2 linked regions of the Arabidopsis thaliana genome follow. The protein of the gene in region 1 interacts with the protein of each later gene in a pairwise test. Each region holds a gene or a part of one and is shown on either strand. Other genes may lie near its edges.

Region 1 (5,016 bases):
GATTGAGATTGTGAGAGAAGAAAATGATCTTTTATTGCTTCCGCAAGAGCTGTGGTGCTCACTCCAACAAGGCAAAGACCGCGAAAGAGTATTTTCAGTAGGATGGGTCTTTGAGCCAGGCCATGCTATCACATCCAGCTGCGTCTTCTCTAGCGATTCTAAGCTAAAGGTAACCAATAATCTTCTTTGTTGACAACTACATACTCTTCTCCTTGCAACTTGTGGTCATTATTCTATCTCTTTTACTTTGCGCAGGAGGTAACAATGGGGAGAGAGACTGCTCTATCAGATGTATGATCAATAATCGTTTAAATCTCCACAGATCATTCTTATAATTTTCTTTGTAGGATGTGTGCACATAAGTCAAATTACAATAATCTCATATGACTTCCTATACTGATGTTTGATTCAGTTTATCTGTTAATAATACATATCAGTTCGTTTTAGAATGCAGAGCCTTTGTTGATTCAATCTTTACCGGGAAGGATCCAGACCATGGGAACCATATTTCTGCAGAGCTTTGTAGCTTTTGCATATCTTCGTTCAGCTCTATCAAAAACGACTGTTTCACGTACACCGATGTATAGACTTGTCAGTTTGGGAAAGAATTTGATGGAATTTACCTTGAAAAAGTGAGAAAGGCTTAACCTGTACATAATCGTGAGATTGCTTGCTTCTCACTGCGAGACGGCATTGTTCCTGATGCTCATGTTTATGCTTTTCCTCATTGTTCTTCCAACAATGCCTTTCTGCATCATAGCTACAAACTCCCCGTAGTCAATCCTTCCATCCTGAAACAAGAAGAAAAAAATGATCCCTGGCCTTTGACCATGTACTCTCCAAGCCAGAGGATATGTATGCATAAGTCACTCACATTGTCTTGGTCGACTTCCTTGATCACATCTTCTAGAAAGACATCACTCATTCCCTGTTCAGCACATGCGTGCTGTAGCTCATCGATAGTGATGTAACCGCTCCCATCTTTGTCAAAGTACCTGAAGGCTGACAGAAGATGTTCTTCACGCTCTAATTTGTTCAGATGGATTGTTGCAGCAATGAATTCACCATAATCTATGGTCCCACTCTTGTCAATATCTGCCTGGTAAATCACAGTCACAGATTAATACTAAACATACTGATTTCAAGCAGGTACTCACACAGATCAGATCAGAGCAAAGTGCTTACAGCCTCCATAAGGTCACGAATCTCAGTATCCTTGAGGGTTGAACCATATCTTCGCAACCCGGCTTTCAGCTCGTCAAACGTAATCGCTCCACTGTTATCCGTGTCCATTGCTTTGAACATTTCCTTCAGTCCAGCAATTTCTTCCTCCGAGAGACTCTCAGCTATTACCTGAATCACAGCAGAAGACATTTATGGAAAATTGTTCACAATAAAGGCCAAAAGGCTTGCGGCCGGGGGCTTACCCGTAAAGCCATCTGCTTTAGTTTATTCATCGCAGAGAACTGTTTAAGACGAGAAAGCACAGCAGGATCTAGTGCTCTGTCTGGCGCAACTCCATTTTCACAGATCCAAGGATGGCCTGCAAAATTCTAAATAAGCTAGCAGATACACTAATTCAGGACCTGAAATAGGAGCAACTGGTTAGACTTACGCAATACTTGATGAGCTGTCAGTCGCTCAGAGGGCCGGGAACATAGCATGCCACGGATCAAGTTTTTTGCAGAGTCGGATATTAGGGGCCAAGGGTCGGAGTCAAAGTCAATATGTCCCTTCAGCACTGCATCAAATATCCCTTGCTGTGTTTCTGGAGTTGAAGCAAAACAAATATTTAAGAATCTTTTACCTTGGAAGCCTAATCACAGTTGTTTCATTTGGGTGCATACCTGCCCAGAACGGAGGGACTCCGCTCACCAATATGTACAGTATGACCCCTGCGGTCCACACATCAGCCTCGGGTCCGTAGTGCTTGAGCAGAACCTCAGGAGCAACATAATACGGACTTCCAACCACATCCTCGAATATTTGACCTGAAAGTTGCAGATGATGTAGCAAGTGTGAAATTCTGACTGAAGATGTTGCAAATGATGCAGCTGATGTTATCACCTGGTTTGAAGAACACGGAAAGCCCAAAATCAATGGCTTTGAGAGAGAAGTCGTCGTCCTTGTTAACCAACAAGAAATTTTCGGGCTTTAGATCTCTATGCATGACACCAAGCGAATGGCAAGCCTCAACAACACCAACGATGATCTTTATCAGCTCAGCTGCTTTTCTCTCGCTGTAATGTCCTCTCTGGATAATTCTGTCAAACAATTCCCCACCTGAGCAAAGCTCCATCACGATGTGAACATACAATGGATCCTCGTAAGCACCTTTAATGGTGACAATGTTCTTGTAGCCAGCCAGATGGTGCATGATTTGAATTTCCCTGCGTACGTCTTCCACATCTTCCTTTGATATCAACTTTCGTTTTGTTATAGACTTGCATGCGTATTCACGCCCTGTTGAGATCTCTTTGCACATGTAAGTCGTCCCAAACTGTCCTTGACCTAGTTTGTGTCCCAACGAGTAGAGATCTCGGATGCTTGGGGTCTTTTGACCAAGAACATAGCAGGCTTGGTTCCCACCGCTGTGCTTCATTGTGGCTTCTTCCTGGGGGCGTCTTTTGCCAGTTTGTGTGCTGAAACAAATCGTTGAAAGACAAAATGTATTAGAAGTGGTTTGGCTTGTAAAGAATTGCCCATCAAACAAATCCCTTACCAAGTTAGTTCACCTCCCCTTCCAAATTAGTTTGCCATCAGAGGAAAACAGAGCAAGTCCCATAGCAAGATCTGAAACATTATACGAATTTAGCATAAAGAAATCGCAATAATAAGGAGAGACATCAAAACAGGGGAATTAGAGGAAGAGATGGATGTGTACCAGACAAAGATGATAAGAATGGATGAAAATTAAGTCAGATTGGTGCAGATCCGATGATACACATTGTTGAACATGGTTTTGCAATATTCTCGCCAACGTCTCCACATCCTGACTAAAAATAACAAAAGAAGAAGATATCTTTGATTAATAGTCATCAACAGATCTGTCTCTTTAATTAGAATATTCTAAAAATGCAGGGGAACTCCACAAGGCTCTTTTCTTAGGCCTACTTCACATGAGACAAATCAAGACCTCCAATTGGTCGCATCGGAACAAACCTTTAATGATCCCATGGCCTCAGATTCTAGTTGACGGGTTATACCAGAGAAGATGGGTCGAGTGCCTTGATTGGCTACTCGCCAAAGATGTAATAAAAGTTACTTCTTTGAAGCAACACGCATTATTTAGTACATGTTTGAAGAGATATGTACACTAGCAATAGAGAAGCCAAAACAAGTGGGACGAAGAAAAACTGCATAGAATGATTTGCATTCGTATAAGTTACCCACAAGATAATCACTAATAAAACAACTGAAATATATTTAACCCTGACCCTTTCAAGGGGTTCCCATAACTTCTAAGCCAATCAGCCAGGTCACCAGAGCTTCCTTGCTGTTAAAGTTAACCCCACCGCTCGACAAACTCATCCATAAATAACAATACAACCTAACAGCTGCTAGAAGGAGGCTGCATGCGGTCCAAAATCTTCTTTTCCTTTCATCTGCTTGTGAAACCCGGTTAGCACAGAACTGTAAGCAATGGTTAAGATGTAAATGATGCTGGTTGGAGAAGTACATGTTTTGCATCAGGAATTTCGAATTCCAAGCTGCATTACAGAATCTGGCCCAACCAGGAATACACGTCTTGTTGTCTGGATTCGAAACACCACTACTCCTTTATATGCTGTTCGAGGCACACCATCCTACACAATCAAAGGGGTACAAAAAAAGTGACCCATTTGGACCTACAATTATTGAAGATTATAGTTCAATCATCTCAAATTTACCTTCCATTCTTCAAATATACCAAATTCCCCTGCAATGCGTTCAAACTCTACTTGGTCTTTATACCGGATACGAACATCATCCTTTATGTTTTGAGCCTTTAAGACAAGGTCAGAACCTTGAATTGGTCGTGCTTGTCTCACTAAGCCAGAAAAGTACTTGGTATAGTTTCCCTTTGATAGACATGAGAGAACAGGTTAAAAACTACATTTCTCCACTCAAAACATGCAAAATGGTATAAAAAAAAAAGGCCGGAGTTCTGTAAATGTTACCTCTGTCAGGTATCCCAGGTCCTTTGCTTTCCAGTCAACCTTTATGAATGAAATAGGAAACCAGTGAAAACTAGTGATGCAACAAAAGGGGGTAAAAAACACACTTACGCTTACCGTCACATCGTTTAGCTTTATAGGTTCCAGATACTGACTGAAAAACTGTCCCAAACTAGACCCCTGCCAAATTAATATAACAAGGTTATGGATAAGTATGAAATGCAAAAATATATTATGTGGTATTGACTGTCTACATCCATGTGTCGGGAAACTATAGGACGAAGCTGCAATAATACATTTTTCATACAGAAAGCAGAAGTCATATGCAGCGAACATAGGTCAATTTAACAGCATTACAAAAACAGACTTGTAAAACTATGATATATAGGATAGCATAATCGGGTACTAACATGTTCACCAAAATTGTATGTTCTACAGACTTCCGGTCGAATGAATTGGCGGCCTTTATGGTTTTCCTTTAGTCTCAGCCAATCATCCCAGTAAGTGGATATTTGTTAAGAAAAGTCTTAGAAACGTCAAACTATTTTTTTTTTTAGAATTTAAGAAGCGTCAAACTATAGTCATCGAGATTGAAAGAAAAAAAAGCATATAAGGATATGCCTTTGGCCACTTTGGTGATAACTCATCCCAAGTCGATCTCTTGAGCATCCACCCAAGGCCAGGAAAAAAATCTGATCGGTATAGCGCATCTGCAGATTATTTTAGCTCGCATGAGCTAGACATAATGAGGTATTGAAAGAACAGGCAAGAGAGGAAGCAAGGTAAAGAAGAAGAAGAAGAAGAATCTTACAGGGATCATGCACAAACTGCTTCTGTCCATTATCATTCCATGATGAAG
Region 2 (5,193 bases), on another chromosome or scaffold:
AGATGTTCTATCAACAGAGACTAGAATGAAGTGCTTCTAAGGATCTGGATAGAGGAGACTTCTTTCGAGAGGCTTCTGCAGCAGATGATTGGGATCCTTTGTAAATGTCTCCAGCTGAATGGTGCTTAATCACCTACAAAAGGTTGAAAACCCACTTGCTATGTCTGTGTAAGTTTTAGAGGAGTACTGAGACAAGAAAAGCAGCATACTATGATGTAATATCAATACTATGTGGCCTTTGTTTGTTAGTGAGAAACAAGTTTCACCTAACCTAGAGTGGCAAAGAGCTAAAAAGCATGGTTGGGTGATCTAGATAGTTCAATCCAATTCTCACTATATTGCATACAGTTTCAAAAGAAAGGTCCGAAAAGAAGCATCTGGAAACCCAATTGGTAAAACCATAGACAAACCAAGTATAAAAACCTCAACTACAATGAGTACACAAACAACTTAAGAGAAGAATAGGTAGAAATAAAAAGACCTGTGTTGCATTGGGCAAAGTGATATTGCTTAGGCCGCCATCTAACAGAGGAGTGTAGGAGGCAGGTTCGTCAATAGAATCTTCCAAGATTTCGTCAGAACGTGAACGTTGCTTAGCTATAGCAGGAGCCTGTAAGAAGCTATTTCGTAATTCTGGATCACGTGAACGTTGCCTAGCTAAAAGAGGAGGTTCTAAGAAGCTATTCCGTAAATCTGAATCTGATTGACGGGGAAATGGAGAGTCTATAATAGAAGCTCCCAGCCTATAGATCTGAAACCATAACAGAGAGGACGATAGCCTCACAACGAACCCAGCAATTTCCATAGCCAGGGTGAGTTTCACAGAGAAGATGTAAAAGACTTGATACATATCAGATGAAATGTTCCTGCATTAACAATTAAATCTTTTGTCAGTTATAGGCAGCAGATGAATACTGGCTCAACAGAATCTAAACACGACATAGCAAAGATTTGCAAAAAAAAAGGTTTAAAGATCAATCAGTTCAAAAAGATGATGAGCCAATCAAGAGAAATTCAGGACAGTTTACAATATGTGATGCAATGAAAATTAAACAAGACAGAGCAAACTCTTAAACCAAATATTTGATCATGATCACAAGCACGGCTGTTCCAAGGATAGTGACATACCAAATCTCTTTGGAGAAGAGAATGAACCATGAGACATCAAGAAGAATGGCGCAGAAAAGAAGAACCGCATAGGTTCTGCCAAGACTTTGGCTATTACTCTCGATTGCTACTAACCCAAATAACGCAATCGCCAAATTTATCAGCACGACTCCATTGTACAATGCCCCTAGTGAACCGATCAACGCGCACCCTATCTGAAACAAATGATTCATCAATATGAGTTTCTTGCACTTCTAACCACAATTAAAAGAATAACAAACAAATATCGACAGAGAAATCGTAGAACCCTAATCCCAAACAGATACGAACAATTCACGAGAAAAAACGTGAAATCGGAGGAAATGAAACAACTACAAAGCGATTACGGATTTACCTGAGCATAGATAAGAATCAAAACGACAGATTGGAGCCTAACGTAGTCGCGAAGCCAATTATGTATTCGATTTCGTAACGAAACACAAAGCATCGTAAAATCTCAACCTCGCAGCTCTCGTTACTTGTTACTTCAATGGACTTTCATAATACAAAATGGCTCGACGATTCTGATGCTAAATTGCAATTTTCCGGCGAACGAAATCGGTGAATCAAGAGAGAACGACGATTTGAGAATTTTCGTGAGGGAGAAAGTAAAGAGTGTCTTTGGCGGGATCGCGTTGCAGAAGAGGCAACAAAATAAAAAAATGAGGAAACGAAATATTCCGTTCAATCGTGACGAAGTTATTATAAGATTTAAGGAGGTTTCCGTTTCTTGTCCAGAGTGACGGACGCTTAACGGAGTCACGAAATTTTGGGCCGTATTGGAAAATCTTTAAAAGCCTAATCAAGCCCAAAACTTCAGACCGGTTAATATCTGAACATAACCGAAACCGGTTATCTCGGTTAGCGATTTTCGTTTCAAAAACGACGCCGTTAATTCCTTACATGTCGACTACTCATATGTGTCGCCCAGATTTGAAGATCGGAGATATGAATCTCTTCTTTCTCTGGATTTGAAAGTTCGATAAAAATCTACTGATACATCGACTTCTGGAAGCGATCTCGATCTCTCTAGGTTTGTGATTATCTTTGAATTTGCTGATTGTTTCGTTAGGCGTGAGGAATTGTTCGATTGATTTTTTTTCCTTTTGTCTCCGGTAGAATTGTTTCGACGACGAAGATGAAGAAGATTCAAATTGGTGCGGTGGCGCTATTGGTGTTTCTATCTGTGGCCTCTCTCTTTGAAATCGGATTGGCTTCTCCGAACACAGTTCCTGCTTTCCTCTGGTCTCCGCATCTCCAGTTATGCATCTTGTTTTCTCTATAATTCTCAATTTGATTGATGGAAATGTGTAAAAAGCCTGGGACTTGTGATATCTGATGTGAGTTAGCTTAGATTACTGGGTTGATTGGTTTATGTGATTCTGAAAATCAGGTCTGCTAATGGTGAATTGGATGAGGCTGTAAATTATCAGGTCATGTCTGCAAAGGATCTAGTTGGTTCTGTTTTCACTCAAGGAGGTTGGTCAAACTTTCTGGTATGGTTTCTTCTTCATGATCTTATGATTTCAATTCTACAACTCACTGGATGTCAAATGATTTTTCTTATTGTCATTACTGTCTCCTTTGTTTAGTGCTCAGAGAAGAAGCTTGAGCAACCTGTTGATGTTGCACTTGTGTTCATAGGCAGAGAGGTAATTGAATGATGTAGTATTGTTGTTTTAACATTAGCATAAATGACCTTGTGGATCTTTGGTTTCTTGTTGTGATATTGTAAAGAAACTGATGTTTTAATATTGCGGGAAATTAATCGTCTTTGCTCTGTATCTTCTGTGTTATGCTGAGAATTCTAATATTCACGTTCTCTTCCGCCTGCAGTTACTGTCTTCTGATGTTTCTTCAAAAAGGAACTCAGATCCTGCCCTTGTTAACACATTGAATGTAAGTGCAAATTTTCTTTTCTTCAACAAGAAATTTCGAAATTGCATCCGTAACACAGATCTCTGACATAGTTGTTTGATATAAAGTTTACAATACTCTAACATCCAAGTCTTTGTTTCAACAGAATCTATTTACAGCTTCCAACTTCTCATTGGCATTCCCATATATTGCTGCTCCAGAGGAAGAAAGGATGGAGAATTTGTTACTTTCAGGGCTTAAAGAAGCTTGTCCCAACAATGTAGGAGTCAGCAATATCGTGTTCTCAGATTCGTGCTTTGTTGAGGATGGAACAATTCAGAAACTTTCAGACTTGCAGTCTTTCAAAGTAATACTCATTGCTCTTAAGTTTTTATTTTCCCTAATCCCATGCCTTCCCAGTGTTATCACCCCCTTAACTTCACTTTCTAATACTCATTAATAATTGACAGGATCATTTGCTTGCTAGAAGAGAAACAAGGAAAGAAGGAGAAACTGACTTGGTTGTGCTCTGTTCCGAGGGTTCTGAATCGAATAGTCAAGCTGGACAGTCACATTCAGAGCGTAAGTGGAAAGATCATTACAAAATAATACTAACAATTAGATATCATTTGAGAACTAGGAAATTAAGCAATTCTTTGACCTATTCTGCAGGTGAAAGCTTCTTGGAACTTGTTAGTTCTGTAGAACAATCCGGCAGTAAATATACAGCTCTTTATGTTTCTGATCCTTATTGGTACACATCTTACAAAACTCTCCAAAGGTTTCTAGCTGAAACTGCTAAAGGAAACAGTACTCCTGAAATTGCTACTGGCTGTGATGAACTCTGCAAATTTAAGTCATCACTTTTGGAGGGCATACTAGTGGTAATTACTCTTTTTACTCGTGTTTTTTTGGTATTCATCGTTCTCAAGAAAGATTCATAAACATCATAGAATGGACAAGTTTAATGAGCATCTTGGTCATATCTAGCTGGAAGATAATTTAATTCAATGTGTTAAAATTTCGTAAAAGCCTTTGATTATGTCTCGTCCTTTTCTTTTTCTTTTTGCAGGGAATCGTTTTTCTTCTCATCTTGATCAGTGGACTTTGCTGTATGGCGGGTATCGATACACCGACTAGATTCGAGACTCCTCAAGATTCTTAAGCTGTTGACCTTAAGAGCCATCCCCACCTTTTGCTTTGCTTTTGACGAGTCTTTTCTTGTGCATAGTGCGCATTGTGGAAGGTACTTCAATGTCGATTTGTTACATTATTACTTCAAAACAAAATCTGCATATGCCATAAAATCCCCTTGTATCATTTATTCATCTTGTTTGTGAGTCTTTCTTAAACGTCATAAATTAATAATGGAGAACGAGTAAAAAACCAGAGATACATACACTGGAGAACGGATTACATTCTTTTTCAGAATTTTTTTTGTTTCTTTTTCTTAGATTATATTCCGGAGTTATCGTGCTCATAGTATCGTATTCATATCAATTTGGGGATTCGGACATAGATTTTCTGGAAGAAAAAAACTCAGGACAATAATGTCGGTAGAGTCAGAGTGGTAGGACATGTGTGTGTACCATCACTTGTATAGATAGATAGAAAGATAGATATAGATGATAGTTTTGTGAACAATTAAGAAAATAGTAAGAATACATATATAAGTTTTGTCATGCAACATGCAATTCTAATCCAAATTTAATGTTTGCCTCGGCATGTTTAGTCATTATTAAGTAATATCGATTGAGCAATTAGCAGTTTATAATTTATCTAGATAGACCTTTTGTTTTGACTATTTCGTTGATTTGTTCCATGATTCAATACTTAGCAAAACATCTTCATATGTTGGGGTCCTTATGGTCCCTGCATGGACCTATTGACAAAGTCATAAGATCAATCTTTCAGATTCTTTGATTGACCTCTCTCTCTCCATAAAGAAGCGTATAAAGAATCAAAATGACCGAAAACGATGGTTCTATTCATCTTTTCCCCACTATACATACTCCTACATTTATTCTAACATAACACTATTCGTATCCCTGTTTTTTTCAAAGTTTATACTATAACAAATACATGACTGTATTTGTCTAATTACGAAGAAGTTTCAAAAGCATCATTTATGAACAATGTTTATCTTTTTTTTTCTTACACAAACATTTATAAAAAATCATGTCACCATGA

The links. The genes of interacting proteins can lie anywhere in the genome.
Region 2: the proteins of CPK26 (region 1) and AT3G13410 interact in a protein complementation assay, tested with the Arabidopsis thaliana proteins (one large-scale study listed by BioGRID).

Annotation. Positions count from the first base shown.
Region 1 is NC_003075.7:17,928,317-17,933,332, forward strand, and holds CPK26 (calcium-dependent protein kinase 26), read right to left. Parts: upstream 3,187-5,016; 5' UTR 2,885-3,186; intron 2,867-2,884; exon of another isoform or gene 2,794-2,866; 5' UTR 2,786-2,793; coding exon 2,736-2,785; exon of another isoform or gene 2,723-2,735; intron 2,643-2,722; coding exon 2,068-2,642; intron 1,992-2,067; coding exon 1,848-1,991; intron 1,769-1,847; coding exon 1,616-1,768; intron 1,544-1,615; coding exon 1,428-1,543; intron 1,354-1,427; coding exon 1,186-1,353; intron 1,100-1,185; coding exon 875-1,099; intron 792-874; coding exon 678-791; 3' UTR 649-677; intron 586-648; exon of another isoform or gene 563-585; 3' UTR 501-562; downstream 1-500. Other genes in the region: AT4G38225 (glycerol kinase), read left to right, coding at 1-169, 256-291, 455-466; CGL1 (alpha-1,3-mannosyl-glycoprotein beta-1,2-N-acetylglucosaminyltransferase), read right to left, coding at 3,690-3,806, 3,891-4,061, 4,161-4,199, 4,275-4,337, 4,568-4,661, 4,777-4,867, 4,969-5,016. UniProt on the Arabidopsis thaliana protein: May play a role in signal transduction pathways that involve calcium as a second messenger.
Region 2 is NC_003074.8:4,361,124-4,366,316, reverse strand, and holds AT3G13410 (2-C-methyl-D-erythritol 4-phosphate cytidylyltransferase), read left to right. Parts: upstream 1-2,000; 5' UTR 2,001-2,179; intron 2,180-2,265; 5' UTR 2,266-2,284; coding exon 2,285-2,406; intron 2,407-2,539; coding exon 2,540-2,642; intron 2,643-2,738; coding exon 2,739-2,798; intron 2,799-2,982; coding exon 2,983-3,045; intron 3,046-3,169; coding exon 3,170-3,370; intron 3,371-3,473; coding exon 3,474-3,585; intron 3,586-3,675; coding exon 3,676-3,887; intron 3,888-4,075; coding exon 4,076-4,168; 3' UTR 4,169-4,682; downstream 4,683-5,193. Other genes in the region: AT3G13420 (uncharacterized protein), read right to left, coding at 11-133, 482-866, 1,129-1,322, 1,502-1,594.